Sus scrofa: one gene and its partners. The protein of the gene in region 3 interacts with the protein of the main gene of each other region in a pairwise test. Links are inferred from orthologs where the notes say so. Each region holds a gene or a part of one and is shown on either strand. Other genes may lie near its edges. The genes, in order: WTAP, PPP1R18 and VPS52.

Evidence for each region.
Region 1: the proteins of VPS52 (region 3) and WTAP interact in binary tests that used the Homo sapiens proteins (3 or more experiments, as listed by UniProt). The two-hybrid records come from large-scale screens. The link is inferred for Sus scrofa from reciprocal best matches to the Homo sapiens genes VPS52 and WTAP.
Region 2: the proteins of VPS52 (region 3) and PPP1R18 interact in binary tests that used the Homo sapiens proteins (3 or more experiments, as listed by UniProt). The two-hybrid records come from large-scale screens. The link is inferred for Sus scrofa from reciprocal best matches to the Homo sapiens genes VPS52 and PPP1R18.

Annotation. Positions count from the first base shown.
Region 1 is NC_010443.5:7,631,752-7,641,954, forward strand, and holds part of WTAP (pre-mRNA-splicing regulator WTAP), read right to left. Parts: intron 8,375-10,203; coding exon 8,319-8,374; intron 4,897-8,318; coding exon 4,838-4,896; intron 3,563-4,837; coding exon 3,435-3,562; intron 1-3,434. UniProt on the Homo sapiens protein: Associated component of the WMM complex, a complex that mediates N6-methyladenosine (m6A) methylation of RNAs, a modification that plays a role in the efficiency of mRNA splicing and RNA processing.
Region 2 is NC_010449.5:23,217,345-23,227,647, reverse strand, and holds the start of PPP1R18 (phostensin), read left to right. Parts: upstream 1-5,352; 5' UTR 5,353-5,566; intron 5,567-6,185; exon of another isoform or gene 6,186-6,247; intron 6,248-6,263; exon of another isoform or gene 6,264-6,512; intron 6,513-6,784; exon of another isoform or gene 6,785-7,305; 5' UTR 7,306-7,332; coding exon 7,333-8,934; intron 8,935-10,303. Other genes in the region: NRM (nurim), read left to right, coding at 2,152-2,284, 3,134-3,330, 3,935-4,111, 4,427-4,708.
Region 3 is NC_010449.5:29,625,681-29,635,883, forward strand, and holds part of VPS52 (vacuolar protein sorting-associated protein 52 homolog), read right to left. Parts: coding exon 10,123-10,203; intron 9,734-10,122; coding exon 9,583-9,733; intron 9,309-9,582; coding exon 9,208-9,308; intron 9,092-9,207; coding exon 8,959-9,091; intron 8,852-8,958; coding exon 8,794-8,851; intron 8,458-8,793; coding exon 8,324-8,457; intron 7,721-8,323; coding exon 7,565-7,720; intron 7,140-7,564; coding exon 7,021-7,139; intron 6,755-7,020; coding exon 6,631-6,754; intron 6,349-6,630; coding exon 6,253-6,348; intron 6,174-6,252; coding exon 6,066-6,173; intron 5,873-6,065; coding exon 5,807-5,872; intron 279-5,806; coding exon 167-278; intron 1-166. UniProt on the Homo sapiens protein: Acts as a component of the GARP complex that is involved in retrograde transport from early and late endosomes to the trans-Golgi network (TGN).

The DNA of each region.
Region 1 (10,203 bases), on a different chromosome or scaffold from region 3:
AATTAGGTATATAATTATTTTTTTCCTTCTGAGTAGATTTAAATCACAGCTTTGTAGAGCTGTAAGGTGACTGACCTGATCCAAACTGCTTTTTTTGAGAGATTAAATAGCCAATTGTCCAAGAATATAGTTAGTTCAGTGCTAGTACTGAAACTAGAATCCTAGGTCTTAAGCCTCCTGACCCCCAACCTAGGGCTTTTCCCATCATACCAAATCCCTCTACTTACATTGAAACCTTCAATTTCAACTTCGACTGCACTACTTTCTAGCACACTAAAAATACATTTCTAAAATATGAAACAGGTTATTAGTATTAACTGCATCAGTTCCCTCACACCCAGGGTAAATCTTGTTCAAGATCCTGCTCCACACTAAACCTCCAACAGGACTTAAAATTAACACTTCCTAGGCAGCTGTAATTTATTTTCAAATTTATTATTATTTTTAATTATTTTATTTTTACTATAAATTAAGTAAAAGATACAAATACACTAAGTGGATTAGGAATATATTCAACTACTATTTCACTGAGCACATGGGAACTAATTATTTTTTCTTCTAACTTAAGGAGATTTTTTTTTTTGTCTTTTTGCCATTTCTTGGGCCGCTCCCGTGGCATATGGAGGTTCCTATGCCAGAGCCACAGCAACGCAGGATCCTTAACCCACTGAGCAAGGCCAGGGATTGAACCCGCAACCTCATGGTTCCTAGTCGGATTCGTTAACCACTGAGCCACGACAGGAACTCCTTAAGGAGATTTTTTAAAACAACTCATTTTAAGCCAAAAACTACAACTATTTTATTCAATATAAAGCCAACTGTTAAGGTAATTTGACAGGAACAAATCATGTCAGGTAACAAACACCATGACTGCCGTCACTGAAGAAAACACCGTCTCTCTGCCACTGACGTCGTCGTCACATCTATGTGTACAGGTTGGCAAAGCAAACTGCCCTCATGTGCTACACATAAACTTGCCATTTCCTTGTATTTTTGTGCCTGCTGCCCTTTCTACAAAACCTCACTCTGCATCCCACTGAAAAGAACAGTGGCCTGTGCAGAGGAGAGCTGTTAAAAAAATGTGGCTGAAGAAAGTTAGGTTCTAGTTGGGAAAAAACCGTAAAATCTAGGTTAGGAAGGGGTGATGGGACATCACCAAAGGCTTTGATGATGCCTAATATGATCACAACTGCCTGCGCAGTTACTGAGGTGAATCAACAGCAGGTGCTAAGAAGAACCTGGGCTAGGATGGCAAGAGCAGGACTCCAAAGACAGAAAGAAATCAAGACCCACTGAGGTTGAGACAGTACCATCAGCACCATCCATTCACACTCTGTCCCAGGTGCTAGCACTCTGAAGGTAAAAGTCATCCTTTGATGTGTAGGCATCTAGCATAGTGCCAGGTCAACAGGAAAACCTAAAACTATTAAACGAATAAATGGTAGAATCTAGGATCCTAAGTATCGCAGTAAGAATTAAATGGTTTTGAGACCGAGCACTTGAGAAGTAAGTAGTACTCATGCCATTAGATGTGAAAATCCTGAAAGAAAAAAAACTGGAGGGGAGGGGTGGTGTGGGTGTCATAGACAGGGAAAAACAAAACACATCCTTATATTCAAAATCTTGGTGACACTTTTTGGAACCAAGTACCCAGGTTAAAAAAAAAAGCCAAAAGTAGGAATGGTCAATAGCTAAAGTTAGGCTAAGTGAAGGTATAAGAGTACTTAGAGAGATTTCTTTGCAGCACTATTCACAATAGCCAGAACATGGAAACAACCCAAATGTCCATCAACAGATGACTGGATTCGGAAGAGGTGGTATATATACACAATGGAATACTACTCAGCCATAAAAAAGAATGACATAATGCCATTTGCAGCAACATGGATGGAACTAGAGAATCTCATCCTGAGTGAAATGAGCCAGAAAGACAAAGACAAATACCATATGATATCACTTATAACTGGAATCTAATATCCAGCACAAATGAACATCTCCTCAGAAAAGAAAATCATGGACTTGGAGAAGAGACTTGTGGCTGCCTGATGGGAGGGGGAGGGAGCTTGGGCTTATCAGACACAACTTAGAATAGATTTACAAGGAGATCCTGCTGAATAGCATTGAGAACTTTGTCTAGATACTCATATTGCAACAGAACAAAGGGTGGGGAAAAAAATGTAATTGTAATGTATACTTGTAAGGATAACTTGATCCCCTTGCTGTACAGTGGGAAAATAATAAAAAATAAATAAATAAATGAAAGAGAAATTTCTTAATACACTCATTAGTGACGCCACAGAAGAAAAATCTGTGTCAGTGAAGCTGAAATCTAAGCTGGTAGAAACAAAAGGAATGCTGAGGGGGTAGAGAAAATAACAAAGGCTACTCTTCTTTAGCAAAGTAACAGATAAGTTGTTTTGAAAAAGTGAAGGAAGAGGGACTAAAGACTCTGGTGGAAATATGGACAATCTCTGCACAGGAAGTTTAAGAATTATGACTGACCCCTAAAGAATATTTATTGATGAAAGAAGAGACAGAAATAGAACTGCCTGCCCTGAAGATTCGAGAAAATTTCAGCTTTTAAGATTATAAACAATGGGGATAGAACTGTCTCTATTTTATGTAACTTACATATACAAACAGTAAAAAAAGAGTTAAGACTGTCAAAGAGAGCATAAAACAATCTAAATTTACAATCAGAGCTAAGTGATCAATCAAGTATGTTGCTAGATTTCAGATCTACACAGGCATGGCAAATAAAGTATAAATGAAAGATGTAAAAATTAAAAAGGAGACATGGTAGAAGTCGCCGACGCTAAGAAAAAATCTTGGGAGTCCAAGCTGTTTTTTTCAGCATTAAGGAACCTGACTAGTATTCATGAGGACACAGGTTTGATCCCTGGCCGTGCTCACTGGGTTATCGATCTAGTGTTGCCGTGAGCTGTGGTAGAGGTTGCAGACATGGCTCGGATTGTGTTGCTGTGGCTGTGGTGTAGGCTGGCAGCTGCAGCTCTGACTGGACCCCTGGCCTGGGAACTTCCATATGCCACAGGTGTGGTCCTACAACGGCGGGAAAAAAAGAGAAAAGTAGTTTTATGCAAAAAGGGGTAAAGTTAGCAGAGGATGACCTAATCAGATGGCTATCTTAGTAAAGAGTAAATGTTCCTTATACTCTTAGATATCCGGTTACTTAAAGAGATCTGAACCATTATACTAATTCTCATAAATCATGGAGATTGCAGAGAATAACCTGAAACTTTCATATCCTTGGCCACAAAAAATTATTTTAAAACCAATAATGAGGGGTTATCTATCAAAATTTTACATTTGGTATATTTAAGCCCAAAGCAGTTTAGTACTTATTAGTTAATACCTGTAGCAATGCGAACCCAAACCCAGTTACTCTGAAGACTTTAAGCCTCTGAAATACTCACAGTACACTCTTGCATCTCTTGCTCCTTGGTTGCTAGGCGCATTACAAGGATGTTTTCCCTGCGTGCAGATTCTTGCTGTTGTTGCTTTAGTTTTTCTTCAGACTCCCTTAAGCCAGTTACATCATTAGCTAATGATTAAAAGGAAAAAAAAAAAAAAATCCCAAAACATTATGAAATACAGTTTCAAGATCAAACTGAACTAATCAAATGAAAATTCTTATTGCCTTTGTCAAGGATAATGAAAACCACTGTAAAAGATCAAAGTCTTTGGTTTCTATCTGAATTACTTTTATTTAAAAAGGGCCACACCTACACATACGAAGTTTCTAGGCGAGGGGCTGAATCGGAAGCTGCAGCTGCCGGAAACAGCCACAGCCACCTAAACCACAGCCCACAGAAATGCCAGACCCTTAATCCACTGAGAAGAGCCAGGGATTCAACCCACATCCTCATGGTTACTAGTCCAATTCACTTCTGCCGTTCCACAACAGGAACTCCCCAAATTACTTTTATAACGAGAAAATTTGTTCCTGCTCAGGAGTGCTCTTTTGGTAGTGTTTACGGTGGTCCACAACCGCCTAATGCTAGAGACGGAATTATGTTGGTACAGTCTAATCTGTTCCCAACAAACACAGGAAACTTCACGACTTGCATTTTTAAATCCTGTACAATATTCACCAAGTTCTGATTAATACTGTTTTCAACTCACTCAATGTAAAGATGTCCACTGACTGCATGGACATTCCTCTTCTAAGCTTTTATAACATTCACCACTTAGATGGATTACAACATACTTACATAATAATGGAAATTTTAGGACATTAAGCTTTCTCAACTTGGAAAACCGTACTGGTTTTTATATTCACAGAGTATGTTACTCCAACTCAGTGAAAAGTGACAAAAAACCTCAAATGGTCTCAAGATAAATTCTTGTATTATTTTTAGGTTTTGAAAACTCCATAAATACACAGCTATATCATATTGTTACAAATCGAGCCATCATGAATTTAATACCAGTTGCTTCTACACTCCTCCCTTTCAGAGCAGTAATTCACGCTCCACTTCAAGTTCCTCTACGGAAGGGAGGAAGGGATGGATCAAGGGACGTTTCAAGTGGTTGTACATTTCTCTATCTGTGCTCTCTCAGAACCCGGGGGTTCAGTTGAGTCCCACTGTTGTGAGATTACTGCCTGTCAGTCTTCTCCAGTGACTCAAGAAGAGATCATGTCTCACTGACCTTCCTATCTGCCCACCTCCAACAAAGTGTATGGACATAGTCCCTTAGTAAATGCTTGAAGAAGCATCAGCAAAACTTTGCTCAGTAAAACCAATTATCCTGTGCTTATAACAACTATCTAAAAGAAAACTGTCACATGTCTTTAGGAAGCTCAACTCAAACTTACAGTTAAGATCTGTGTACTTGCCCTCCAAAGCTTGCACGTATGCTTCGTATTGTTTCCACCTGGTACAAAAATAAAATAAATCCATGTTAGTTACCATGTTGAAATTTTAGGGTCCCTTCCATTTTGAGATAATTATGAATCCAGTTTAACCCATAATAAATCAGTCACTTCAAAACCATTCCTTCTCAACTTACAGGAGTTAGGAAAACGGAAACAGAGAGAAGAGTGCTTTCTGTGGAGAGTATACACCAAGAGGTGCTCCCCTGGGTCAGATCAGACACCATATGGGACTTTGTCTCACTGATGTTTAGCATGATGCCTGGATTACAGAAGATGAATGAAAGACTTTCTTTCAGATGTGCTGTCTGCCTCAAACAAAATGTGCCTAATTCTAAGGGAATGAAGGTTATCTTGCCTCTTTTGTGAAAACACCACGTGACTCTCTCAAGGTAGAAAAAGAGAACACACATTTTTTAAAAGTCTAAACAAGGGCCTATTCTATAGCACAGGAAACTATATTCAATATCCTATAATGAACTATAGCTGAAAAGAAAAGAAAAAAAAAAAATTCAAGGGAAAATAAACCCCAAACATATCTAATTGGCAGAAACAACTTGCATAAATGCCATACACTCTAAGAGTGGAAAATGATTTTTTTTGTTATATTCCTCTACCCTCAAAATATAGGCCATATTACCTGCTCTTGACAATTACTGCAGATGACAAACTTTCTCCAGTCTTATGTTTAAGCAACTGCTTCTGGAGAGTAACCTGTCTGCTACCTTGCTTACTGAAAAGCTACTTTTCAAGCTGCTCTTCAGTTACAGCTAATCAAAATTTACTTTGACTTCAGGAAATAGTTCTACAATCTTAAAACCTCTGACAAGTTTGCTATGAGACATATTAATACATACAGCAAAACTATTCTGTAATATCAAACTAATCCTTCTATATAAAAACTAGGCCAAGGGCATTCTTATTTTTATGGCCTCTACAACCTAGGACACAAACAGGAGTTCATTCAATGTTTACAGATGAATTAAGGTGTTCTAAGGAGGTTAGGTAAGAATTACTTATTTTATTGGACTAGAGAAATATAAAAATTCAACTAAACTATCCTTATCAAGGAGACCGAGGGAGGGGGGCAGCAATTAAATAGGTAACAGTTAATTTAAAATCACCAAGAGAATTAATAAGGAAAAAACTGCAGTCAAATGAGAAGTACCTAAAGAAAGAAGTCAAAATGACAAGAACACAAATTGTAGTTCCCACTGTGGCTCAGCGCATAATAAATCCAACTAGAATCCATGAGGATACGGGTTTGATCCCTGGTCTCACTCAGTGGGTAAAGGACCTGGTGTTGCTGTGGCTGTGCTGTAGGCCGACAGCTACAGCTATGATTTGACCCCCAGCCTTGGAGCTTCCATATGCCGCAGGTGCAGCCCTAAAAAGAACAAACAAACAAACAAAAAAATTGTATGTAATTTTAAAACCTTACAGGTAACTTAAAAAACTGCTATTTGATTTTTAAATTGAGATCATAGCACTGCTTTCATCCCCTACAGTTAAATCAAGAAAAGAGACTGCACATACTAGCCAGAGGAATTATTTGAGAATAAGAAATGGTAAGAGTATTTTAAAATACTATTTACATTTTATGTGTGGGAAAATTAAGACATCATCAGTAGAAAAACAATCCTGGAGTTCCTGTCGTGGCTCAGTGGTTAACGAATCCAACTAAGAACCATGAGGTTTCGGGTTCGATCCCTGGCTTCGCTCAGCAGGTCAAGGAGCTGGCATTGCCGTGAGCTGTGGTGCAGGTCGCAAATGCGGCTCAGATCTGGCGTGGTTGTGGCTCTGGCATAGGCCGGCAGCTACAGCTCCAATTAGACCCCTAGCCTGGGAACCTCCATATGCCACGAGTGAAAAAAAGAAAAAAAGACCGAAAAACAAAACAAATGATCCTGTGAGTGAAATTATGGCAAAGGAAGATAAAAAAGCTTGTGTCTGCAATAGAGGAGCTAAGTGGTGGTGGTGGTGGGGGCAGACTCCAGGAAACAATGGAGCACGTCATTTGTGTTTCCTTATCTCACAAACCACTTTTCTCTCCTCTATTTCCAGTCTGCTAAATCCACTCAGTTTTTCAAGCAAAAATTCCTTAAAATTTCTAGAGGAGGAAGTTAAATGACCTTGCAAAGGCTGCCAATGAAAAACATTAATTTTATTTCAATCTAAAAGTGATCCCAAGAGTTCCCGTTGTGGCCCAACGGAAATGAATCCAACTAGGAACCATGAAGTTGCGGGTTCAATCCCTGGCCCTGCTCAGTAGGTTAATCTGGCGTTGCCATGAGCTGTGGTGAAGGTTGCAGACGTAGCTCAGATCTGGTGTTGCTGTGGCTGTGGTATAGGCCAGCAGCTACAGCTCTGATTAAACCCCTAGCCTGGGAACCTCCATATGCTGAGGGTGGGGCCCTAAAAAAAAAACAACAAAAAAAGTGATCTCGTAAAAAATTTACCATAGTGATAAAACGCAGAAAGAATATATTTAAGTTATAAAACACAAAACATGTGCGATCCCATTTTCTGATTTAAAATAAAAAAATGAGTAATTGACAATCTGCTTTAATAAGACATTTATAAGACAACCACACAGATTCAGAGCTGAAAGTAATCTTTAAAAGGAATTTAAGGGAGTTCCCGTCGTGGCGCAGTGGTTAACGAATCCGACTAGGAACCATGAGGTTGTGGGTTCGGTCCCTGCCCTTGCTCAGTGGGTTAAGGATCTGGCGTTGCTGTGAGCTGTGGTGTAGGTTCCAGACATGGCTCGGATCCCGCGTTGCTGTGGCTCTGGCGTAGGCCGGTGGCTGCAGCTCCGATTCAACCCCTAGCCTGGGAACCTCCATATGCCGCAGGAGCGGCCCAAGAAATAGCAACAACGACAACAACAACAACAAAAAGACAAAAGACAATAAATAAATAAATAAATAAATAAAAGCAATTTAAAATAAAAGTAATTTAGGAGTTCCCGTCGTGGCGCAGTGGTTAACGAATCCGACTAGGAACCATGAGGTTGCGGGTTCGGTCCCTGCCCTTGCTCAGTGGGTTAACGATCCGGCGTTGCCGAGAGCTGTGGTGTAGGTTGCAGACGCGGCTCGGATCCTGCGTTGCTGTGGCTCTGGCGTAGGCCGGTGGCTACAGCTCCGATTCAACCCCTAGCCTGGGAACCTCCATATGCCACAGGAGCAGCCCTAGGAAAGCCCCCCCCCCCAAAAAAGGATAAAATGTTACTTTCCTCAGTGTTTATATAATGAAGAAACAGGCCATAGGAAAAAGGTCTGAAGAGTATATTGAATGATTGAGGATATATTAACATTAGAATCAACACATGGTATAAACATTATAGTAGAGAATCATCATAGGAGAGAATCACAATGTAACGTTCTATAGGAAGATTTTATATTTTTGATAAAGAACAATTTACCTTAGAATCAATTCGTCTCGTGCCATAACTTTGAAGTCTGTCTCACTCAGTCGAACCTAAAAAGTTAAGAAATGAAGTAAATGCTCATTTTAAAAGTTTTAAATATTAAATACCACTGGCACTTACATCATTCATATTTTTATGAAGACAGGACTACAACTCTTAATCCCTCAACTGCTGGTTTCTGTGACTACAAATCCCCTTTTTACTGAAGACGTACAAAGCCCCTCTCAAAAAAAACTCTGTGTTGAAATGGTTCAGTATGTTTTATGATTTAAAAAAAAAAAATCTTATCTTTCGGAAAGAAGTTTTTAAAAGGTGGACTACTTGTTATCTTTAATATAGGCATCACTAAGGAAATGCAAATTAAAACTCAATGAGCTGGGAGTTCCAGTCATGGCACAACGGAAACGAATCTGACTAGGAACCATGAGGTTGCGGGTTTGATCCCTGGCCTCGCTCAGTGGGTTAAGGATCTGGCATTGCCGTGAGCTGTGGTGTAGGTTGCAGACGCGGCTCAGATCCCACAGTGCTGTGGCTGTGGAGGAGACTGGCAGCTGTAGCTCTGATTTGACCAATAGCCTGGGAACCTCCATGTGACACAGGTATGGCCCTAAAAAGCAAAACAAAACAAAACAAAAAACAAAAAAACCCCAATGAGCTATCATTACACTCCTCTAAATAAGAAACAGCAGTGGAATTCCCTGGTGGTGGTGCCATGGGTTAAGGATCCAGTGTTGTCACTGCTGTGGCTTGGGTTGCAGCTGTGGCATGTGGTTCAAATCCTGGCACGGAAAATTTCCACATGTCACAAGGAGGCAAAAAACAAACAAACAAACAAACAAAAAACAAACAAACCCCAAACCCAACCAAACAAAAAATAGTGGTAACCTCAATGTTGAGTGAAGATGCAGAGAAACTAAGCTTTTTCATACACTGCTGGTAAGAAAAATGGTAGAGCTTCTGGTGGTTCTTTTTAAAACTAAAAATGGAAGTTCTTGTGTGGCACAATGGGTTAAGGATCTGGCGGGGTCACCGCTATGCACAGGTTTGATCCCTGGCCTGGGAACTTTCACGTGGACGGGCGCAGCCAAAAAAGAAAAAACAAAACTAAAAATGGACATGCCACACAATCCTACGATTGTATACTTAAGCACATATTCCAGAGAAATACTTATTTTCACACAGAGACTTGTTCACAAAATGGCTCAGAGCAGCTTTATCTGTAAGAGCTCAAAACTGGAAACTACAATCCATGAATGGTAAACCATGATACATCCACGCCATGAAATATTATTCAGCAACAAAAATAAACAGAATGTAACAACCTGGCTTAAGCTCAAGGGAATTTTGCTGTGTTGGGGAAAAAAGAAAAAGAAAAAAAAAGAAAAAAAAAAAAAAAAAAACCCACCTCAAAGCATACTCAAAACAGCACAATTTCAGGTATATGACATTTGTCAAAACAACATAATTATAGAAATGAAGAACTAATTAGTGGTTGCCAGGGATTGAAGAATGGAGTAGGAGATGGATGCGGCTACAAAACAGTGGCACAAGGGAGGCTTGTGCAAGAGTTCGGGTCACGGTGGTGTTTACATTAAGTTACAAGTGATAAAACTGCACAGGGCCACACATCACACAGAATGCATGTGTAACTGGTGACACCTGAATAAGCTCTGTGGATCGTACCAAAGTCAAGCTCCTGGTTTTGATATTGTTATGCAAGATGTCTACACTGAAGGAGACATTTCTTTGCAACTTCATATATATCAGTAATTAGTTCAAAATAAAGTTTTTTAAAATGGGCATGATATTCTGGTAAGCTGATAAAAATTAAAACATTTTCCCTTTATAAAAAAGTTTCAAATAGTAACATAATACTATC
Region 2 (10,303 bases), about 6.4 Mb from region 3:
ATAGCGTGAGCTTTGTCAAACACTGTGCTGGCTCCTCCATCACGCCCATGGCACTTGGAAGTTCTGGGGCAACCGGAGCCACAGCAGCCACGCCAGATCCTTAACCTGCTGTGCCACCAGGGAAGTCCCAGTTCCTAATCTCACAATATTTATTAAGTACAGCCATTGTGGGTGTGCCACGCTGTAGGACCCAAACAAATATTAGTCCCCTTGTATTTGCTCAAAGCCTTGTACTGTGCAAAACTGTCCTTGAGGTCCACTGGGTGCCTTACAGCACCTGCTGTCTAATGGGACTGCTCGCATTTAAATTTCTAGAGAATAAAGATCTTTTCTAATGCTTCCCATGAATCCTACGGCTTGTACATTGTGTATAAAAGTTTCAGGATCGTAACAGGAAACGATGGCACAAATTAGGATAATTTGGAGAGTTTATTTAATGAAGTGAAAATTAAAGAGAAATCACAAAGAATAATGAAATACCCCAGTATCCACAGCTCTGTTGTGACCACCTTTAAACCCAAAAAATTGGAGAGGAGGGAACAGTTACACAGAGAGGTTTCCCTCAAATGCTTTGATTTTCATTGATGTAGTCAATTCAGGACAACTTCCTGAGGCAGCAGGATGGAGAGAGTGAATCAGAAGGGAAAACAGGGTATCTGGTACAGTATACAGTAGCGTTGATTCAGAGGAGAGTGGGAGGGAGGAGAATGAAGTTAGTCTGTGGGATGCTCTCCAGCAATTTCATCATCCCTGAGCCCACAGGACTAGCAGCTTTTTTTTTTTTTTTTTTGTCTTTTTAGGGCCACACCCATGGCATATGGAGGTTCCCAGGCTAGGGGTCTAATCGGAGCTACAGCTGCTGGCCTACACCAGAGCTCGCAGCAACGCCAGATCCTTAACTCACTGAGCAAGGCCAGGGGTCAAACCCACATCCTCATTGATACTAGTCGGGTTCATAACCCACTGAGCCACCATGGGAACTCCCTGGAGTTTGATTTTTATTTTTTATTTTATTTTATTTTTTGTCTTTTCTAAGGCTGCTCCCACGGCATATGGAAGTTCCCAGGCTAGGGGTCTAATCAGAGCTGTAGTTGCCGGCCTACACCAAAGCCACGGCAACATGGGATCCGAGCCATGTCTTTGACCTACACCACAGCTCACGGCAACGCCGGATTCTTAACCCACTGAGCAAGGCCAGGGATCGAACCTGCAACCCCATGGTTCCTAGTCGTATTTGTTAACCACTGAGCCATGACGGGAACTCCTGGAGTTTGATTTTTCGATGTAAATGGTAGTCTGTAGGAATTACAAACAGGAGTATAGGAAAAACTTAACAAAATATCTTTGAGGTTTCTGACTTGTGGAGTCAAATTAATGAGGTTGAAGGCTAAAGTCATAGGTAGTTAATTATCACAGCTTGGATGAAATTAACCTACAAGGTTTACAACTGTAATAAAATTTTCTATCAAATACTTTAACATTGTTACTCTCATAGTTACAAAGCAATAGCCTTTGGCATTATTAGAACAAATCTTTCAGTGGTACAGACAACTTCTCTGCCTTTAGCAAACAGAGAGGAACAACTCAACAGTAAGTTATAGAATAAGCATTAATTTGTGGTAAAATAGTAACTCTTTCATCCAGCAAGATATAATAGGTGATTCAGAGCTGTGGGTTCTCAGCCTGGGTCAACAGTCTTCTGTTCTCTCACCTTTCATTATTAAAGTGTTAACTGAGGCTTTGTGACCTCTCACTCTGGCTATTTTCTATCAAAGCTATTGAAGGAAAGGGGGTTCATAATGCTCTGTTTCTGCAAGAATCCTTCAAAAGAGGAATTGACTTCATTTTAGATGCGAAAACTAGCCGAGCTGTGGAATCAAGCCACGTGAGTGACTGCACAGCCCTTGCCCTTTTCACCTCTCACTTGGGATTCTAACATTCCCTTCTGTGACGCGGAGATCGCAGGCTCCCGGGGATCCATCCTGCAGCCTGGTGGTGGAGAACCGCGCGCGCGCCTGCCGGAAGCCCGGACGCCCGCGCGCAGGAGCCCCGCCCTCCTGGGCGAGGTCCCCGGCGGGAGGCGGGTCCGGGGCGGGGCCTGCAGCCGCGGGAATCCCAAACCCGCCCCTTTCCCCACCTCTGTTTCTCGCCATGGCCCCTGCACTGCTCCTCGTCCCTGCTGCCCTCGCATCTTTCATCCTGGCCTTTGGCACCGGAGTGGAGTTCGTGCGCTTTACCTCCCTTCGGCCACTTCTTGGAGGGATCCCGGAGTCTGGTGGTCCGGGTGAGCGGGAGGGGCCGAGGACGAGCTCTGGGGTAGGGGGGTGGAGCCGGAGCCGAGGGAGCGGGGGCGGGGTTTGGAGACAAATGACAGGGGAAGTCCAGGAGAGGGAACTGGAACCGTGAAAGCCGCCGAGGAGCTGCAGTGGAGACCAAAGGGCTAAATTGGGAACCCAGGGATTAGCGGTTTGGAGAGGCGGGAGAGTGAGGCTGAGGGGGAGGGAAAGGGCGATGAAGAGAGTATTCCAATGAAAGTGCTTCGTAAAGAGGACTAAGGAGAAGAGTGTTATAAAGAGGGAGTATTAGGAGAACTGAAACAAGAAGGGCAGTCCAACAGTGGGTGGCCTCTGCAGCCATGCGTTTCATGACTATCCAACACGAATCCTTTTCCTCTGAAGGAGGTCTGGGGAAGAGGGAAGAAACAGGGAAGAAAAACAGGAAACAAGAGGGAAGAAAAATGAGGTGGGGAGTTCCTCTTGTGGCTCAGTGGATTAGGAACCTGACATAGTATCCGTGAGGGTGCGGGTTGGATCCCTTAGTCAGTGGGTGAAGGCTCTGGTGGTGTAAGCTGCAGCGTGGGTTACAGATCTAGCTCAGATCTGATGTTGCCGTGGCTATGGTGTAGGTCTGCAGTGCAGCTCCAAGGCTACCCCTAGCCCAGGAACTTCCGTATGCCACAGGTATGGCCCTAAAAAGAAAACAAAACAAAAAAGAAAAGTGAGGTGGGCAAAGCCTAGAGAGGAAGCATTAGGCTCTTGAAAACATTAAGGGATGTGGTCCTAAGATGAAATAAGGGTCAGGAGTGTTGCCCACCATCTTCTTGATTTGTGTCCGTTTTTCCAACTCCCGCTAGATGCTCGCCAGGGCTGGCTGGCTGCCCTGCAGGACCAAAGCATCTTGGTCCCTCTGGCTTGGGATCTGGGGCTCCTGCTACTATTTGTGGGGCAGCACAGCCTCATGGCAACTGAGACAGTGAAAGCATGGATGTCCCGGTACTTTGGGGTCCTTCAGAGGTCACTGTACGTGGCATGCACTGCCCTGGCCTTGCAGGTATGGAGCCCTGGCAACTAAGTCCCCAAGGGAAACAGTCTGTGGGAAAGATGCTGTCCATTGGCAAGGCAAGGGCCTTAGGTTTTCTGATAAAATGTGGATTGAGGAGGAGAACTGAAGGTGTTCAGGACTGTAACCTCAGCTTCCATTCCTCCACAGCACAAATCCTACTTTTTATCAAGAAGGATGTACTGCTTGTCATTCCCCGAGCACGATATGTGCATTCTCACCCTTGCAACTTTGTTCCTGTTGTCCTGCTTGAGATACCCTTGTTCGCTCCTCTTCAGTCCCATCCTTTCTTCACAACCACCTCCCTAGGTTTCAAAGAAGGCTTCCCAGTTGCTACTCATCTGTCTTCCCAGTGGGTGCTTGGCATAGGCTACTTTGTGACCCTATCTGGTTACTCACATCCATTCTGTAACTCCTCAGAGTAGAGAGGAGTCATCCTTACATCCTTGGGATCCCACCCAGCCCCCTCCCCTTGGCGAAAATTTTCACAGTGGAGGTGGGAAAGCAGGAGGTCAGCCTGGGGTGGGGGCAGCCTCTGGGTCTAGGTCTTTCAGGAGTGGGCTGCTCGGATACCCACCCCCTCATCCTTCTTCAGCTGGTGATGCGGTACTGGGAGCCTGTACCCAGGGGCCCGGTATTGTGGGAGGCTCAGGCCGAGCCATGGGCCACCTGGGTGCCCCTCCTCTGCTTTGTGCTCCACGTCATTTCCTGGCTCCTCATCTTCAGCATCCTTCTCGTCTTTGACTACGCAGAACTCATGGGCCTCAAACAGGTGAGGCTCCCAGATCCCTCCCTGAGACCTCTGATTCTTTCCAGAACACCTCTTTCCCTTCCAAGGATGTCCCTCCTCCTCCTTCCTCTTGCTTTTGACTCCCTCGCCTCCCTTTCTTGTAAGATAGTCTCCCCCCAAAGGCCAGAAACCATGGCTCTTCTGGACCTGGGGAAAATTCAGGGGCCCAAGTCTCAGAGGGGTGGTTCTTGGATTGAACCTGAGTTATAGAAGGAGGGTGCCTGGAAGGGGAGGAAAGAGGCAGCCAAGTTGTGACAAGGGCTTGAGTCCACTTCTAAGCCGTTCTCCCTCTCCCAGGTGTACTACCACGTGCTGGGGCTGGGTGAGCCCCTGGCCCTGAAGTCTCCCCGAGCTCTGAGACTCTTCTCTCACCTGCGCCACCCCGTGTGCGTGGAGCTGCTGACAGTGCTCTGGGTGGTGCCCACTCTGGGCACTGACCGCCTCCTTCTTGCTCTCCTCCTTACCCTCTACCTGGGCCTGGCTCACGGACTTGACCAGCAAGACCTCCGCTACCTCCGGGCCCAGCTGCAAAGAAAACTCCACCTGCTCTCCCGGCCCCAGGATGGGGAGGCTGAGTGAGAAGCTAACCCTGGTTCCAAGCCCTACACTTCCTCTCCCTCCAATTCCAAACCCCTTCTCATCCAGGACCTGTCTGCTTCAGACCAGAGACCCAAATCCAAGGACTGAAGGACCTGTCCCTTCCCCTGCTTAAGCCTCTCCTTCTTGGGTCCAGCTCTAGACCCTAAATTGAGTTTCAGCTACTGGACGCCAAGGTCCACTTCTCACCAGCCAGGAAGAGGGAGTGGGAAACTTTATCTTTCTCCTCATAGTTTAGGGCTTGACCCTCCGTTTACAACCTCCTTACAAGGAGAAGGGCCTGGCCTGACCAATCCCCTGGCCCTGTTACTCGCCTCTGCGCCTCAGGGATTCTCTTCCCACATCTTGCTCCACCTCCTAGAAGCTGGACCAAGGTCTGCAAGTTTGACAATAGAGGCTGCCCCCCACCCCCCCACCCCAGGCTCCAGGCCTTGCAGCTGCAGGCCAGCCCCACCGCCTGGCCTCTCCAGCTCCATAGGCCCTTGCCCTTGGGCTCTATCCTCGAACTTAGTTGGGCAGATTCTCCCGCTCTTAATTCAGGTGACTAAGTGCTCCCTGCTCTCCCGAGGAACTCGCGCTACAAGAAAATAAAATCCAGCCTGGTTTTTCTACATGTAGCATGCAGTCTGTCCAGTGCCTCTCAAGCTGCAGGGCTGATTCTGGGAAGGACAGGCGAGCCAAGCCCGAGTCAAGGCATCCGCCGCGCCCTCTGGCGACCGCTGGGCGGCGGCCACTCCCAAAGGACCCACCCCTCCTTCAAATCCCCCAATTTCCTCGCTGCAGATTTGGGGGCCCCGGCAGGAGACAGGTTGAAGCTGAAGAGTGGGGACAGCGGCTCGGGTAAGAAAGCGAGCTTCCGAAACCTTTGGCTTCCGAGCACAGCTCCTGCCGATGCCCCACCACCGCCACCACCACGGGCCCCCCGTAGCCCTGCGGCCGCCCCGGCCCCCACACTAACAAAGGCTGGCCGGGGAAAGCAAAAGCGTGGGGAGGAGCGGCAGGAGATGGGAAGGGCGGGCCCCGCTCAGAGCAGCTGCTGCTTCCTCCCCAAGTCCCTCGAGGGGCCTGAGTCACGGGCCGCCGCCCTGGGTCGGCGAGCTGGGGGCGGGGGGTCTGGACACCTGGGTTATCCCGGGTTACCGGGCGGGAGCCGGGTGAGAGGCCCTGGGGACAGACAGCGTAAAGGCCAGGGCTTGCGGCGGGAAAAGAGGTGTCCGGGAGCCCAATCCCACGCGGGGTCGAAGAGGGCGAGGCTCCGCCCCCTAGTCCGGCTCCGCCCCGCGCCCCCTTCGCTCTTCCCCATTGTCCTCAGACAAAGCGGTCGCCGCCCCCCGCCCGGCCCCCAGGTCTCTGTCTCCGTTCCTCCTCCTCCGCTCCCTCTTTCCCTCCTCCTCCCCCTCCCTCCTCCCCTCCCGCCTGTCTCCGGATCTCCCTCGATCCCTCTCTCCTCCTCTTCCTCTCTCCTCCTCTCTCCGGACACCAGGCTCCTCCGCACCCCCGCCCCCGGGAGCCCCGCGGCGAGTGAGTTGACGGAGGGGCTTCAGACTTGGGGAGGGTGTCTCCTCTCTCCCGTCCCTTCTCCCGTCCCCGGCCCGGACCTTGGGCTGTCTCCTCTTTGTGCCGAGATTGCCTGTCTGTGCGGCCAGAGCCGGCTGGGGATGGCCGGCTATGTCGGGGTTCCGTGAGAGCCGATACCGGGCACGGGACTGGCAGGCTCCGGAGGCGTGGAGCTGGTCCTTCGCATGCCTGGGTCCCGGGGCACCGCCGGTGCAGGAGGCAGGCGGTGGTACGGGGACCGGGTGGGGGTGGACGCCAGGGTTCTGGGAATGTGCTGGCAGGTCTGACGCCCGGGTTCCGAAAGTCCCCGGGGGAGGGTATTTCCCCTGACCCGCCTCGGGGCGGAGTGCGGGGCGGGGGGTGGGGGCTGGGGGGCCGGAGAGGCGTGGCCCGAGCGGAGCTGGAAGGGGAGCCCGGACCTCCGGGGCCCGTGCTGAGACTCGCCGGGCTGCAGCCGCGGAGCTCCCTCACCCCTCTGCCCCGATTTCCCCTTCTCCCCAGGACTCGTCCACTCTCCGCCCTCCCACCTTCCCGACACCCGTGCAGATCCCACTGCCCCCTCTCCGGCGGGATTCCCTGACCTCTCCTCCAGCTCTCAGCGCTCCTGGGTAGCGGTGAGGCAACCTTGCCTGGATCCTGTTCCCGTCACCCCCAGCCTCTCTTTTCTCTTCCTCCCTCGCGCCAACTTCTTTCGTTTTTCAGTCTTCTCACATCCTCGGGACTGTCTGATGCCCATTAACCTGTGCTGACAAATCTGACTCCTACCTCTGCCCTGAATCTCCACTCTTCCTCTCAACTCCCTCCCCCCACCCCCTCTACCTGGCTCTTAGTTCCTTCTTCGCGTTCTCAGTGTTCCCCCTTTTCTGCCCTCCCTCTTCTCCCTCTTTCCCTCTGTCCTTCCTCACTCTCAGCTCCTCTGTCCTCTTCCGAGTCCCACCTCTCCCCCCACTTCCTCTCCGCCCACCCCTATTCTCACCCCCTGGGCCTTTCTGGAGCCTCTCCTTCCTGTTCTCTGCCCCCAGCGCTCCCCCACCCTCCCCAAGTCGACCATGGCCACCATCCCGGACTGGAAGCTACAGCTGCTAGCCCGGCGCCGGCAGGAGGAGGCAGCCGTTCGTGGCCGGGAGAAGGCAGAACGGGAACGGCTGTCCCAGATGCCAGCCTGGAAGCGGGGGCTTCTGGAGCGCCGCCGAGCCAAGCTTGGTCTGTCTCCTGGGGAGCCTAGCCCTGCGCCTGGGACTACGGAGGCTGGACCTCCAGACCCAGACAAGTCTGCCGTCCTCCTGGAGGCCATTGGGCCAGTGCACCAGAACCGCTTTATTCGGCAAGAGCGCCAGCAGCAGCAGCAGCAGCGGAGTGAGGAGCTACTTGCGGAAAGACGGCCTGGGCTCTTGGAGGCCCGGGAGTGGAGATCCAGCCCTGGGGAGATGAGGGATCAGAGCCCCAAGGAAAGAGAGTCTAGAGAAGAGCGGCTCAGTCCCAGGGAGGCCAGAGAGAGGAGGCTGGGGATAGGGGGAGCTCGAGAGTCAAGCCCCAGGCCTTTGGAGTCTAGGGACTGGAGGCAGAGCCCAGGAGAGGCTGGAGACCGGAGCTCCAGGCTGTCAGAGGTGCGGAAATGGAGGCTGAGCCCTGGAGAAACTCCGGAGAGGAGTCTAAGACCTGCAGAGCCTCAAGAACAAAGCCCCAGGAGAAAAGAGGTGGTGGAAAGTAGACTGAGCCCGGCGGTCTCTGACCACGAGAAGCTGGGCCTGACAGACGCCCATAAACGGAGGCCTGACTCCGGAGAGTCTCAGGAACAGAGTCTGGTGCTGGAGGCATCAGAGTGGAGGCTGAGCTCAGGAGAAGAAAGAAAAGACTGCTTGGAGGAATGTGGGAGGAAAGAAGAGAGGACACTTCCAGGGATGGTCCCAGAAGACATTACAGGGTCGCCAGAGACCCTGACAATGGAGGCTGCAGGCAGCAGCTCTGGAGGAGTGGAGGCAGCAGACCAGAGGCCCATCCCTGTGGAGGATGGCGAGAGGGACTTGCGGCTGTCAGAAGGGTGGAAATGGACCCTGAACTCTGGGAAGGTTCGAGATCGGACACCTAGGGACACAGAGACTCAGAGTCAGAAACCGGAGTCTGCAGAGAAGCACTTGGGGCCTCTTGGTGCGGAAGCTGGAGAAGGGGAGGCGGAGAAGGAGGAGGCAGGGGCTCAGGGCAGGCCTCTGAGCGCCCTGCAGAACCGCTGCTCAGTGCCCTCCCCCCTCCCACCAGAGGACGCTGGGACTGGAGGCTCTAGACAGCAGGAAGAGGAAGCAGGGGAACTTCGGCCCCCACCAGCAGCCCCTCTGTCTCCCCCACCCCCAGCCCCACCTGCCCCCCAGCCCCCTGGGGATCCCCTCATGAGCCGGCTGTTCTATGGGGTGAAGGCGGGGCCAGGGGTGGGGGCCCCCCGCCGCAGCGGACACACCTTCACAGTCAACCCCCGACGGTCCGCGCCCCCTGCAGCTGCTGCCACTCCAGCCACCCCAGCCACAGCTGACGCTGCAGTCCCCGGAGCTGGAAAGAAGCGGTACCCGACTGCCGAGGAGATCTTGGTTCTGGGGGGCTACCTCCGCCTCAGCCGCAGCTGCCTTGCCAAGGGGTCCCCTGAAAGGCACCACAAACAGGTAGGGAGCAGCCGAGCCAGACTTCTAGAAGCCCACTGGTCCGTTCTCTGTGGACTCCTGTCTTTCTGTCTTTTTTTTATACCCCGGTCTTCTGTCTGTTCTTTCTTAATTCGTGCCACCACCCTTCCTCTCTGTACACACACCCTTCCGTCTTGTAGTCCTTCTTTTCCATTCATTTCCCAGCCCCAGGATCCAGCCTGTGTCCTGGGTGTGTCTCTCTCAGGGTGTGCTCCAGCTGCTCGCTCTCCCTTCCCTCGGGCTCTGAGCACCCCCCACCCCCCATTCTTTCCATTCCTGAGTCTCTGACCCAATCCAGCCCATCTGGTGGGAGACTTGAACCGAGACCACAGCCCGGCACCTGTGAGGGCAGGCTCCACAGGGCAAAAGCACTGCCAGCCTCCCAGGGGAGAGAGTGTTGGGGTAGGAAGCCTGGGGAGGCCGAGGGGGTGGCTTTGGGGTTCTAGGGAGAAATGGCAGTGGGGAGTAAGTGGAAAAAGGTCTCACGATGCAAGGCAGAGGGATGCAAGGCAGAGTGGAGGGGAGATGTCCTTCGGGGGGAGGGGAGGGGAACAGCACTGGCCAAAGAGCAGAGAGAAGGCTTTTGAACCCCACGTCTGCCCCATGGGAGAGACACACACAGAGGCCATTTGAAGTGGGTGACCTCGAGGTTGCACACCCCCAGCTGGGCCACAGCTTCAGACAGTGCTCCCTTCTCTCTTGGGACAAGAAAAGCCTTCTCCTCTTCCAAAATCCCCCCCCACCCCTCCCTGGCTGTCCTTCCTCCCCGGGCTTCCCCTCCCTCCCCAGAACGGGCTCAGTGCTTGGTTTTCCCCTTTATTCTTCCTTCCTGGCCTCTCCCTTCTCTTGGGATCGGAAGAAAGAAGTGAGTTTGGAGCCACTGTGCAGGGAGTACAATGGGAGTTGGGGATGGGGGTGAGGGCTGAGGACGGCAGAAAAGGTCAGAGGTTAAACTGGAAGAAAGGCCCTGCAGGGAAGCTGGGAACAGCCAGACTGACTTCTTCTTCCCCAACTCCTTCCCCATCTACCCGTTTCCGGCTTGAAAATCTCCAAGGAAAGAGATTTGCTGCATCTAACACATCTCCCCAGAGACTGGGGAGCCCTTCCTGGTCCTGATCCCATGTGTGACATCCTCAGACTTGTTTTTCGTGTCCTCAGTATCAGTGGGAAAGCACAGGGACCAATGCTTGGGGGACACGTGAGACCTCGATTCATCTTCACACAATGCTTAGGGTCCCAGCCCCGAGCTGAGCCATGGTCCCTGAGTCTGTCCTGAGCTCTCTGACTTGCAGATGCCAGGAAGTGGGTCAGGAACAGCTGGGCTGACTTGTTCCAAGAAGTCCCTTTCTAC
Region 3 (10,203 bases):
GCTGTGGCCGTGGTGTAGGTTGGCAGCTGTAGCTCCAATTAGACCCCTAGCCTGGGAACCTCCATATGCTGAGAGTTCGGCCCTAAAAAGCAAATAAAATAATTCAAAAAAATTTAAATTTCTTCTTTCCCGTTCACCTCTCACTGACCCCACCCACCCTTCTTACCTTCTTCCCCTCGGAGTCGTTCGGCTTGCCCACGCTCAATCAGGGCCTCAGCTTCCTTCACAAATGCCACCAGACCCCCAAAAGGGGGAGATAGCAGCTCTTCGATGAATTCCTGTAGAGACACACACACACACAGTCGAGTTTCCTGATGTCTGCAGGTCCTCCCAGGTCTGGCGTCATGACCACCTGGGTCCTTAGAACACTCCTGTAACAGCACAGCTCATCTCTAGAAAGGTCTCCCAGAGCTAAGGGAAATCTCCAAGGACTACCCTCCTCAAAATAATTAATTCATTAAATGGTTTACAAAATGGAGCTGGGAGCAGAGGGCTGGAACCAGGGAAGTGGGCAACTGGGAGAGGCAGGGCTGCCAGAGGTAAGTGGCCATGGCCACCTGCTACCCAGAAGCTGAGCGGGATGCCAGCCTTGAGTGGGAAGCTGAGCTGCCTCTCTCACGAGAGCCTCTAACAGGTGGCAGTGTAGACCCAGGGGGAGGGCATTTTTCAGTGACTGTAAAAGGAGATGCCAACCTTCTCTGAAAAACCCTCAGTCCCAGCGCAGGGCCCTGGGACTCCCCCGATTAAGGTCAAGGAGAGGAGTCAAAGACCAGCAGTCGTAAGAAAGAGACTACCAGGAAAATTAGCACAGACAGTACACCCAAGAGCGCCCAAGACAGCCAACGTTACACTGCCACATACACAGCAGCTGGGCCTTCTGTATGAAATGTTCAAAGAAATTAAAGATACAGACACACACATGATCAATTCACAAGATTAGGAATGGACAGCTTTGAAACAATGGAATTTTAAAGAAATGATTTAAAAGTAACACTTTTTCTGGGAGTCCCTGTCATGGCGCAGTGGTTAACAAACCCAGCTAGGAACCATGAGGTTGCAGGTTCGACCCCTGGCCTTGCTCATTGGGTTAAGGATCCAGCATTGCCATGAGCTGTGGTGTAGGTTGCAGACGCGGCTTGGATCCTGCATTGCTGTGGCTCTGGTGTAGGCTGGCGGCTATAGCTCCGATTAGACCCCTAGCCTGGGAACCTCCATATGCCTTGGGAAGCGGCCCTAGAAAGGGCAAAAGACCAAAAAAAAAAAAAAAAAAAAAGGTAACACTTTCTTTGGTCACACCAGCAGCATGTAGAAGTTCTCAGGCCAGGAATGGAACCTGGGCCATAGCAGCAACCTGAGCTGCAGCACGACAATGCCAGGTCCTTAACCCAGTGTGCCACCAGGGAACTCTGCATCATATTTCAATTGGACAGCACCAGTCTAGACTTGGATGAACTTTAAGCTCTCAATCCAGCAAAAGAGAAGTTCTGGCAGCAGAGGAATGGAAAGAAGGAAGGGGTGCCCTGGGCTTTGGCTAGCAATCTGTCCCATGACACCGAGCAGCAGCCCCCAAAAAGGCCAGGGAGCGCTGGTGACAGCTGGCTCCCCACCATAGCAAATGCCTCAGTGCCTCAGCTGCTCCCAGCAGGGTCCACTGGTTGTGGGGTCAGAGGGCAAGGGAACTGCACTTCTGAGGAAGAACTGATATTCCCTCTGTCCCCTAACTGTGCAGGTAAGGACAACAGCTTCCTTTCTCAGCCATGATACATGTTTATGTTACTAAACAGAGAATGGAATGGGAATGTTTAACCTACAACTAACCAGATCCCTGGACAGAAAAAAGACTGGAGGAATGTAAGGTTAAAAAAGATACTGGTTCGGAGTTCCCGTCGTGGCTCAGTGGTTAACGAATCCGACTGGTAACCATGAGGATGCGGGTTCGATCCCTGGCCTTGCTCAGTGGGTTAAGGATCCAGCATTGCCATGAGCTGTGGTGTAGGCTGCAGACTCGGCTCGGATCACATGTTGCTGTGGCTGTGGTGTAGGCCAGCAGCTGTAGCTCTGATTCGACCCCTAGCCTGGGAACCTCCATATGCCTGGGTGCGGCCCTAAAAAGACAAAAGACAAAAAAAAAAAAAAAAAAAAAAAAAAAAGATACTAGTTCTATAGGCTGGCAGCTGTAGCTCTGATTCAACCCCTAGCCTGGGAACCTCATATTCAGTAGATGCAGCCCTAAAAATCAGACACACACACATACAAATACTGGTTCCGGGACTGTGGCGCAGTGGTTAAAGAATCTGACTAGGAACCATCAGGTTGCGGGTTTGATCCCTGGCCTTGCTCCGTGGGCTAAGGATCTGGCATTGCCGTGAGCTGTGGTATAGGCTGCAGATGGCGGCTTGGATCCCATGTTGCTGGGGCTCTGGCGTAGGCCAGCAGCTACAGCTCCTATTGGATACCTAGCCTGGGAACCTCCATATGCCGCGGGAGTGGCCCAAGAAATGGTAAAAAGACAAAAAAATAATAATACTGGTTCTGGGGGAGGGGCAAAAGAGGGGTAAGGTTAAGGGACTAAGAAAGCCAAACTATTATGCATAAAATAAATAAGAAACTAGGGAGTTCCCCGTCATGGCTCAGTGGTAAATGAACCTGACTAATATCCATGAGGACATGGGTTCAATCCCTGGCCTCGCTGAGTGGGTTAAGGATCTGGTGTTGCCATGAGCTATGGTGTAGTTTGCAGGTGTGGCTCAGATCCTGCATTGCTGTGGCTGTGGTGTAGGCCAGCAGCTACAGCTCAAATTCAGTCCCCAGCCTGGGAACCTCCATATGCCACAGGTGCAGCCCTAAAAAGACAAAAAAAAAAAAAAAAAAAAAAAAAAAAAGTAAGAAAATAAATAAACTAGAATACTCCCTCGCACCATACACAAACATAAACTCAAAATGACTTAAAGACTTAAACATAAGATACTATAAAGATACTATAAAATTCCTAGAAGAGAACATAGGCAAAACATTCTCTGACATCAACCATACACATGTCTTCTTAGGTCAGTCACCCAAGGCAATAGAAATAAAAACAAAAATAGGCCAATGGGACCTAATCAAACTCACAAGCTTCACATAGCAAAGGAAACCATAAAAAAAAGACAACCTACGGAACGGGAGAAAAGAGTTGTAAACGATGCAACTGACAAAGGCTTCATCTCCAAAATATACAAACAACTCATACAACAGCAAAAAAAAAAAAAAAATCCACAATCGAAAAAGGGGCAGAAAACCTGAACAGACAATTCTCCAAAGAAGACATACAGGAGTTCCCATTGTGGCACAGCAGAAACAACTCCAACTAGGAATCATGAGGTTGCGGGTTCGGATCCCTGGCCTTGCTCAGTGGGTTAAGGATCCGGTGTTGCTGTGAGCTGTGGCATAGGTCACAGACAGCTCGGACCCCGAATTGCTGTGGCTGTGGCATAGGCCAGCAGCTGTAGCTCCGATTAGACCCCTAGCCTGGGAACCCCCATATGCCGCAGGTGCAGCCCTACAAAAGACAGAAATGGCCAAAAGGCACGTGAAAAAATGCTCAACATCACTAATTATTAGAGAAATGCTAATCAAAACTACAATGTACCACCTCACACCGGTGAGAATGGCTACCATTAATAAGTCTACAAATAACAAATGCTGGAGAAGATGTGGAGAAAAGGGAACCTTCCTACACTGTCAGTGGGAATGTACCTTGGTACAGCCACTATGGAAAACAGTATGGAGGTAGCTTAGAAAACTAAATATAGAACTACCATATGACCCAGCAATCCCACTCCTGGGCATATATCCAAACAAAAACTCACTGAAAAAGATACTGCATCCCTATGTTCACTGCAGCACTAGTAACAAGAGCCAAGACATGGAAACAACCTAAATGTCCAACAACAGGTGAATGGATTAAGAAGACGTGGTACATATACACAATGGAATACTACTTGGCCATAAAAAAGAACAAAATAATGCCATTTGCAGCAACTTGGATAGAACTAGAGACTCTCATGCTAAGTGAAGTAAGTCAGAAAGAGAAAGACAAACACCATATGATATCACTTATGTGTGGAATCTAAAATATGGCACAAATGAACCTATCTACAAAACAGAAACAGACTCTCAGACATGGAGAACGGAATTGTGGTTGCCAAGGAGGAGGGGCAGGGAGTGGGATGGACTGGGAGTCTGGGGTTAGTAGATGCAAACTATTACACTTAGAATGGATAAGCAATGAAGTCCTGCTGTACAGCACGGGGAACTATAGCCAATCACTAGGGACAGGACATGATGGAGTGTGAGAAAAGGAACGTATCTATACATGTTTGGGTCACTTTGCTGTACAGCAGAAATTAGCATATCATTGTAAATCACCATACTTTAAAAAATAAGCAAGGTAGAAGGATATACTGGAAAACACAGAATAAAGTAAATATTTTATAAGAACCATAAATGGCACATAACCTTTTTTTTTTTTCTTTTTAGGGCCACTCCAGGTGTTGCTGTGATTTAGGAACCCACAACATATGGAAGTTTCCAGGCTAGGGGTCAAATCAGAGCTGCAGCTGCTGGCCTATACAACCCACAGCAACGCCAGATTCCTGACCCCCTGAGCGAGGCCAAGGATCGAACCTGCATCCTCATGGACACTAGTCAGGTGTGTTTCCACTGCACCACAACAGAAACTCCTGGCACATAACCTTTTAAAATTGTGACTCCCTGTGTTGTAGACCTGTAATTTACATGAGATTGTACTTCAAAAATATCTCCATTTTATTTTGTTTTAATTTTTGTCTTTTTGCCTTTTCTAGGGCCGCCTACGGAGGTTCCCAGGCTAAGGGTCTAATTGGAGCTATAGCCACTGGCCTATGCCAGAGCCACAGCAACGTGGGATCCGAGCCGCATCTGCAACCTACACCACAGCTCACAGCAATGCCGGATCCTTAACCCACTGAGCAAGGCCAGGGATCGAACCCGCAACCTCATGATTACCAGTCGGATTCATTAACCACTGAGCCACGACGGGAACTCCTTTATTTATTTATTTTATTATTATTTTTTTTTTTGCTATTTTAGGGCCACACCTGTGGCATATGGAGGTTCCCAGGCTAGGGGTCAAATCGGAGCTGTAGCTGCCAGCCTACACCACAGCCACAGCAACCCAGGAACTGAGCTGCATCTGCGACCTACACCACAGCTCATGGCAATGCCAGATCCTTAACCCACTGAGAGAGCGAGGTCAGGGATCGAACTCTAACGGATCCTAGTCAGGTTTATTGACTGCTGAGCCACAAAGGGAACTCCAATATCTCCATTTTAAAAGTAAATAAAATTTAGGAGTTTCCATGGTGACTCAGAGGTAATGAACCCAACTAGTATCCAGGAAGACATGTTTTGATCCCCGGCCTCACTCAGTGGGTTAAGGATCCAGTGTTGCCATGACCTATAATGTACGTCACAGACACAGCTCAGATCTGGAGTTGCTGTGGCTGCGGTGTAGGCCGGCAGCTGTAGCTCCAATTCATCGCCTAGCCTGCAAACTTCTATATGCCGCAGGTGCGGCCCTTTAAAGCAAATAAAAATTAAAATAAATTTAAAAAAAACACAAAAATAAAATAGACCAGTAATGACAGCCTGGTCTGAACCAAGTGTTACAAAGCATTACAATTCCAGTTCTGTGTACCTGGAGTCCACTAATTGCCACTCCACACCCACACTCTGAACAAAAACAAATACGGCACACAGGTCCTCCTTCCCTTCCCCACACCCCTACCTGTGTCCGAGCATTGAGCAGCTGCTGGAAACTTTCAACCTCTTTGCTGTCATCAGCAGCCCTCTCCTAAGAGGAGACAGAGCAAAACCTAAGGTTGTGGAGAAGCCGCATTTCAAGTCTGCGAGCCCCTCCCTCCCACGTTGGCCAGACGCCGTGCCAGGTGCCGAGAATCAAACACTGAACGAGGTCAGCAGGGTCTTGGCTCTCACGGAGCTGAGAGAGCGGTGGGGGGCCCGAAGGGAGCCAGAGGGGCCCTTACCATCAGCACGCCCAGCATCATGTCATAGTTGTTGATCAGAAACACAAGCTGCTCCTTCCTTGAGGAGAACTCGGCTGCTACTCGGAGGACAAAATTCTCCACCTCCACCTGAAAAAGTGGCAGGAGGCGGTGACTCGGAAGGCAGGGGCCTTCTGCAACCCAGCCACTGCCCTGCCCCTGCCCTCACCTGTAGCTGACCCAGCAGCTGCATCGTCCGCTCATTGGGAATCGTCTGATTGATGCTGACGAGGGCAGAGGAGAACTCTGCATATCGGCGTGTGATCTGGGAGGCAGAAGGCAGGAGAAAAAAATCCTACCTGTGCCCTGGCCCAACCAACAAGCCCCTGGAAGCCCTTGAAGCTGGTCAAGCAGCCTCTGGGTGACTCCCGTCTCGGATCCCTCCCCACCACCGTGTGTGTCCCATTCCAACCCAGTCTAATCATACTCCTCGCTGCTTCTCACCCAGTGAAGCTGCATATGCTGCACCATGACCATGACCCTGGGCAACCCCATGGCCAAGCGTGGAGCCCTGCTTCCCAAACCAGTTACCCTCGCCCCCCCTCACATAGTGAGGCCGAGTGTCCAGCCCCCCGAGGCGCTGGGGGTCAGTGCTCCGGACGCTCTGGACGTTCATCTCCAGGATCAGCTCAAACCGCGGCCACAGCAAGGCAAGCACCTGTTCCCAGTACCTGTGGGCTTCGCCAGAATCAGAGATAGCAGCAAGGAGCACAGGGGTGGGGAGGTGGGGTTGGGGTGTGTGCGGGCACCCTGACCGGCACAGGGGCAGGAGGGTGTGAAAGCTGGGTCTGGAAGCAAGAGCACTGCTTCCCAGCAGACACACAGGGACAGGGCCAATGGGATGAGGCCACTAGGAGCCCAAGGGTCAGGGCAGGTGTGTAGGAGACCAAGAGCTCAAGGCTGGTGGGGGGGGGCGTCGAGAACCAGAATTCAGCACCTGTCCAGGGCGGGGACATCCCTCTTTGCTGCAATGTTTCGGAACCGGAGAACAATATGGATACAGAGAAAAACCGCTATGGCATCGTAGCAGTCGGCCAGGTAAGACTCCAGGTGCTTCTGTGATTTAGGAACAGGAAGGGGATTGGAGGATTGTGTTTGGGACTCTGTCATTCAAGTGGCTACAGACAAATGCACGGGCTCCTCTGGGGATGTGGGGGGGGGGACGATCTAAAAGGAAAATGCTCCCTCCTTCCCTGCCCACCGATCCTCTGCCTTGCTCACCAGATCTGTGGTCACAGGCCCATCACAGCACAATTCAGGGCTGAACACCAAGGTTTAAGGGCCCCTGAGTTTTCAGGTGCTATTGCCTGGTGTGGGTCTGCGGCAGGGGTGTTCTGGGAGACCCCAAGCTGTGGTGGTTCCATGGGGAGTCACACAGCTTTAGAAAGAGGGCATCTGGTTGCAGTCTGTCCAGAGCCCTGACCTCAGTGATGAGTAAGGAGGACCTGGAGGGCAGAGAGCAGGGGAGCCAGGGCACTTACCAGCGTCATGCTGAGGGTGCGGCCCATGACAGCGTGGAAGAGGTCGTGTGCAGCCGGGCCAGACACCACGAAGAACTCGCAGATGAAAAGATATTCTCGGCAGGAGTTGTCCAGGAGGGCATAGTGCTGGCTGCGGAAGAGTGCCTCAAAAGGGTACTAGAAAAAAAATTAAATTAAATTTTAAAAAAATAAAATAAAAAAAAAAAAAGGAGTTCCCGTCGTGGCACAGTGGTTAATGAATCCGACTAGGAACCATGAGGTTGCGGGTTCGATCCCTGCCCTCGCTCAGTGGGTTGGCGATCCGGCGTTGCCGTGAGCTGTGCAGGTTGCAGACTCGGCTCGGATCCCGCGTGGCTGTGGCTCTGGTGTAGGCTGGTGGCTACAGCTCCGATTAGACCCCTAGCCTGGGAATCTCCATATGCCGCGGGAGCGGCCCAAGAAATAGCAAAAAAGACAAAAAAAAAAAAAAAAAAGGGTACTAGGAGGGGAGGGAAAAAGAGGGGAGAGAGAAGGGTTGACGTGGCTGAAAGACCAGGAAAGCTGGGCAAGGAGAGCACAGGAGGCACTCCCCTCTAACCCGAGTCCAGGCTTCGAGAGGGCATCCTGAATGGGGACTGAAGAGGTGGGGGCACAGGAGGAGAGCACCCCCCACCCCCCGCCTGCCGCTGCTGCTGCTCCTGCCCCCACCCCCAGGCCTGCCTCCTGACCCGGTGACTGGCCGGGGGATTCACTCAGGGGTCTGCCTCCTCCTCCTCCTACCCTCTGTTCTCCCCGCTGCGCTGTGTGCGGCACAAGGATGGGGGCTTCCAGTTCAGTGGGCGAGATGACGGAGCCACGGGTCCCCAGGGTGAAAATGGTGTTCCTGCTGCGGAGGGACGGCTTTGAGAAGAAGCGTGCAGGGTCACAATCAAGGAATACAGTACTGTCACTGCAGTGATGGAAGATCAAAGCCTTGGGAACTCCATTGGGCCCTGGCAGCCAGACAGCCTCAGCATCCCCCAGGACCAGGGCCCCACTTCAACGGATGTCTGCAAATGGGCCCCAGGGAGCCTCTCCACCCCTGACATGACATGCAAAACAACACATCAAAGTGATTTGCGCATTTTCTTGAGGGAGAAAGTCATAGCTTTTATCACGCTCCCAGAGGTGAGCAGCAGAGCCCCAGAGGCTGGACCCAGAAGCCCCGCCCGCCCCAGGCCCAGCAGGAGCGGTCCTCAGCTGCAGGATATCTTTCTTTGCTGTGTCCTCCACGCCCATCAGATCATCCTTCTCAGCGACTTCCTCATACTAAAGAAAAGAGAAAGGAGCCCTGGTACCCAACCCTTTCCAGAGTGCAACAAGAAAGGGCTCTCGGCTCTGAGCCAGGGCAGGGGCCGCCTTTCTCCTGGCCTCACCTGCACCTTCATGAGCCGCCCCAGGTAGGAGCGGTAGTAAGACAGGTACATCTTGCTCAGCGTCTCCACGTATTCGTCCCTGACCTCCTTGGCCGTGGCCCGCTCATTGCCCAGCAGGAACTGATAGAAGAACCTGGAGTGGCAGGGACGGGTCAGCCCCGTCACCTGCACCACCAGACACCACGCGTGCTGCGCAAAAGCTGGGAGTCCCCCCCTCCCCCCAAGACGGTCTTTCGTTCAGGTGGCCACCTGTACTTCAGTAGGGCCGTTTGGGGGATCTGATAGTTGGTCATTGGTTTCCTGAAGGAATAGATCTTCTGAAGGATGAACTCTCGGATCTTTGTTACCGCCTGGACACGGAGGACCAAACACAGGGTGTGAGGCTGCAACCTTCTCACTGTTTGGGAGGCACTGAGGGATGTAATGAATGCTGAACACAGGAGGAGAAACAGCAGAGAATATCTCTTGCATATTTAAGACCCTTAGGGAACCCAGAGAGGTGAGGATGTGCCCTGCCAAATAAAGGCAGGGCAAGGTTTTCGGGGACAGGCTACGGGAGACCCAGGGTGAAGGTCTCAGGGACGCTGGTTCAGGAAGTCTGGACAATCCACCCCCATGCACCACCTTGACCCGGAGCCGGTCCAGCACGCCCCTGACATCTGCACAGGCCGCTGTGCCTCTAGCCTCCTGCTCCCGGACTGCAGCTGCCTTGGCATCCAGCTCCTGCAGCTGTTCCAGGAACCGGGGCTCTGTCACTGGCGCCTCCAGAATTGCCCTGGGAAGCAGAGAGGGATGGGATGGGTTAGGAGATCCAGACATAGCTAGGCCCTAACCACACCCCTTCCATCCAGCCCATCTCCTCTCCCTTCTTACGCTATATCAGAGAGTCAGGGCACATGTGTACCAAGTTTCCTGTTCCTGGACACACACACCTCCACCACCCACAAGCCTTGGACCCCCTCACTACATGCCTGACCCTGGATGATTCCTAATCTTTGATGCCTAAAGCACATGTCAAGGCTAGAAAGAGTTGTCAACCCACTCATCAGTTTCTGAAAGGAACTTGACGACCTGGAGCCGGAAGACCCACGAGATAAGCAGGGCAGGTCACTCCAGCTCATCTACTTGCTGTTGACATCATGACCATTCAAACTGGTGACTCACGTGACCAGAGCAGAGGGCACCACCAGACCATCGACAAGCTCCCCGAGCTTCCCACGGACAGCCTGGCGGTTTCGAAGCCTA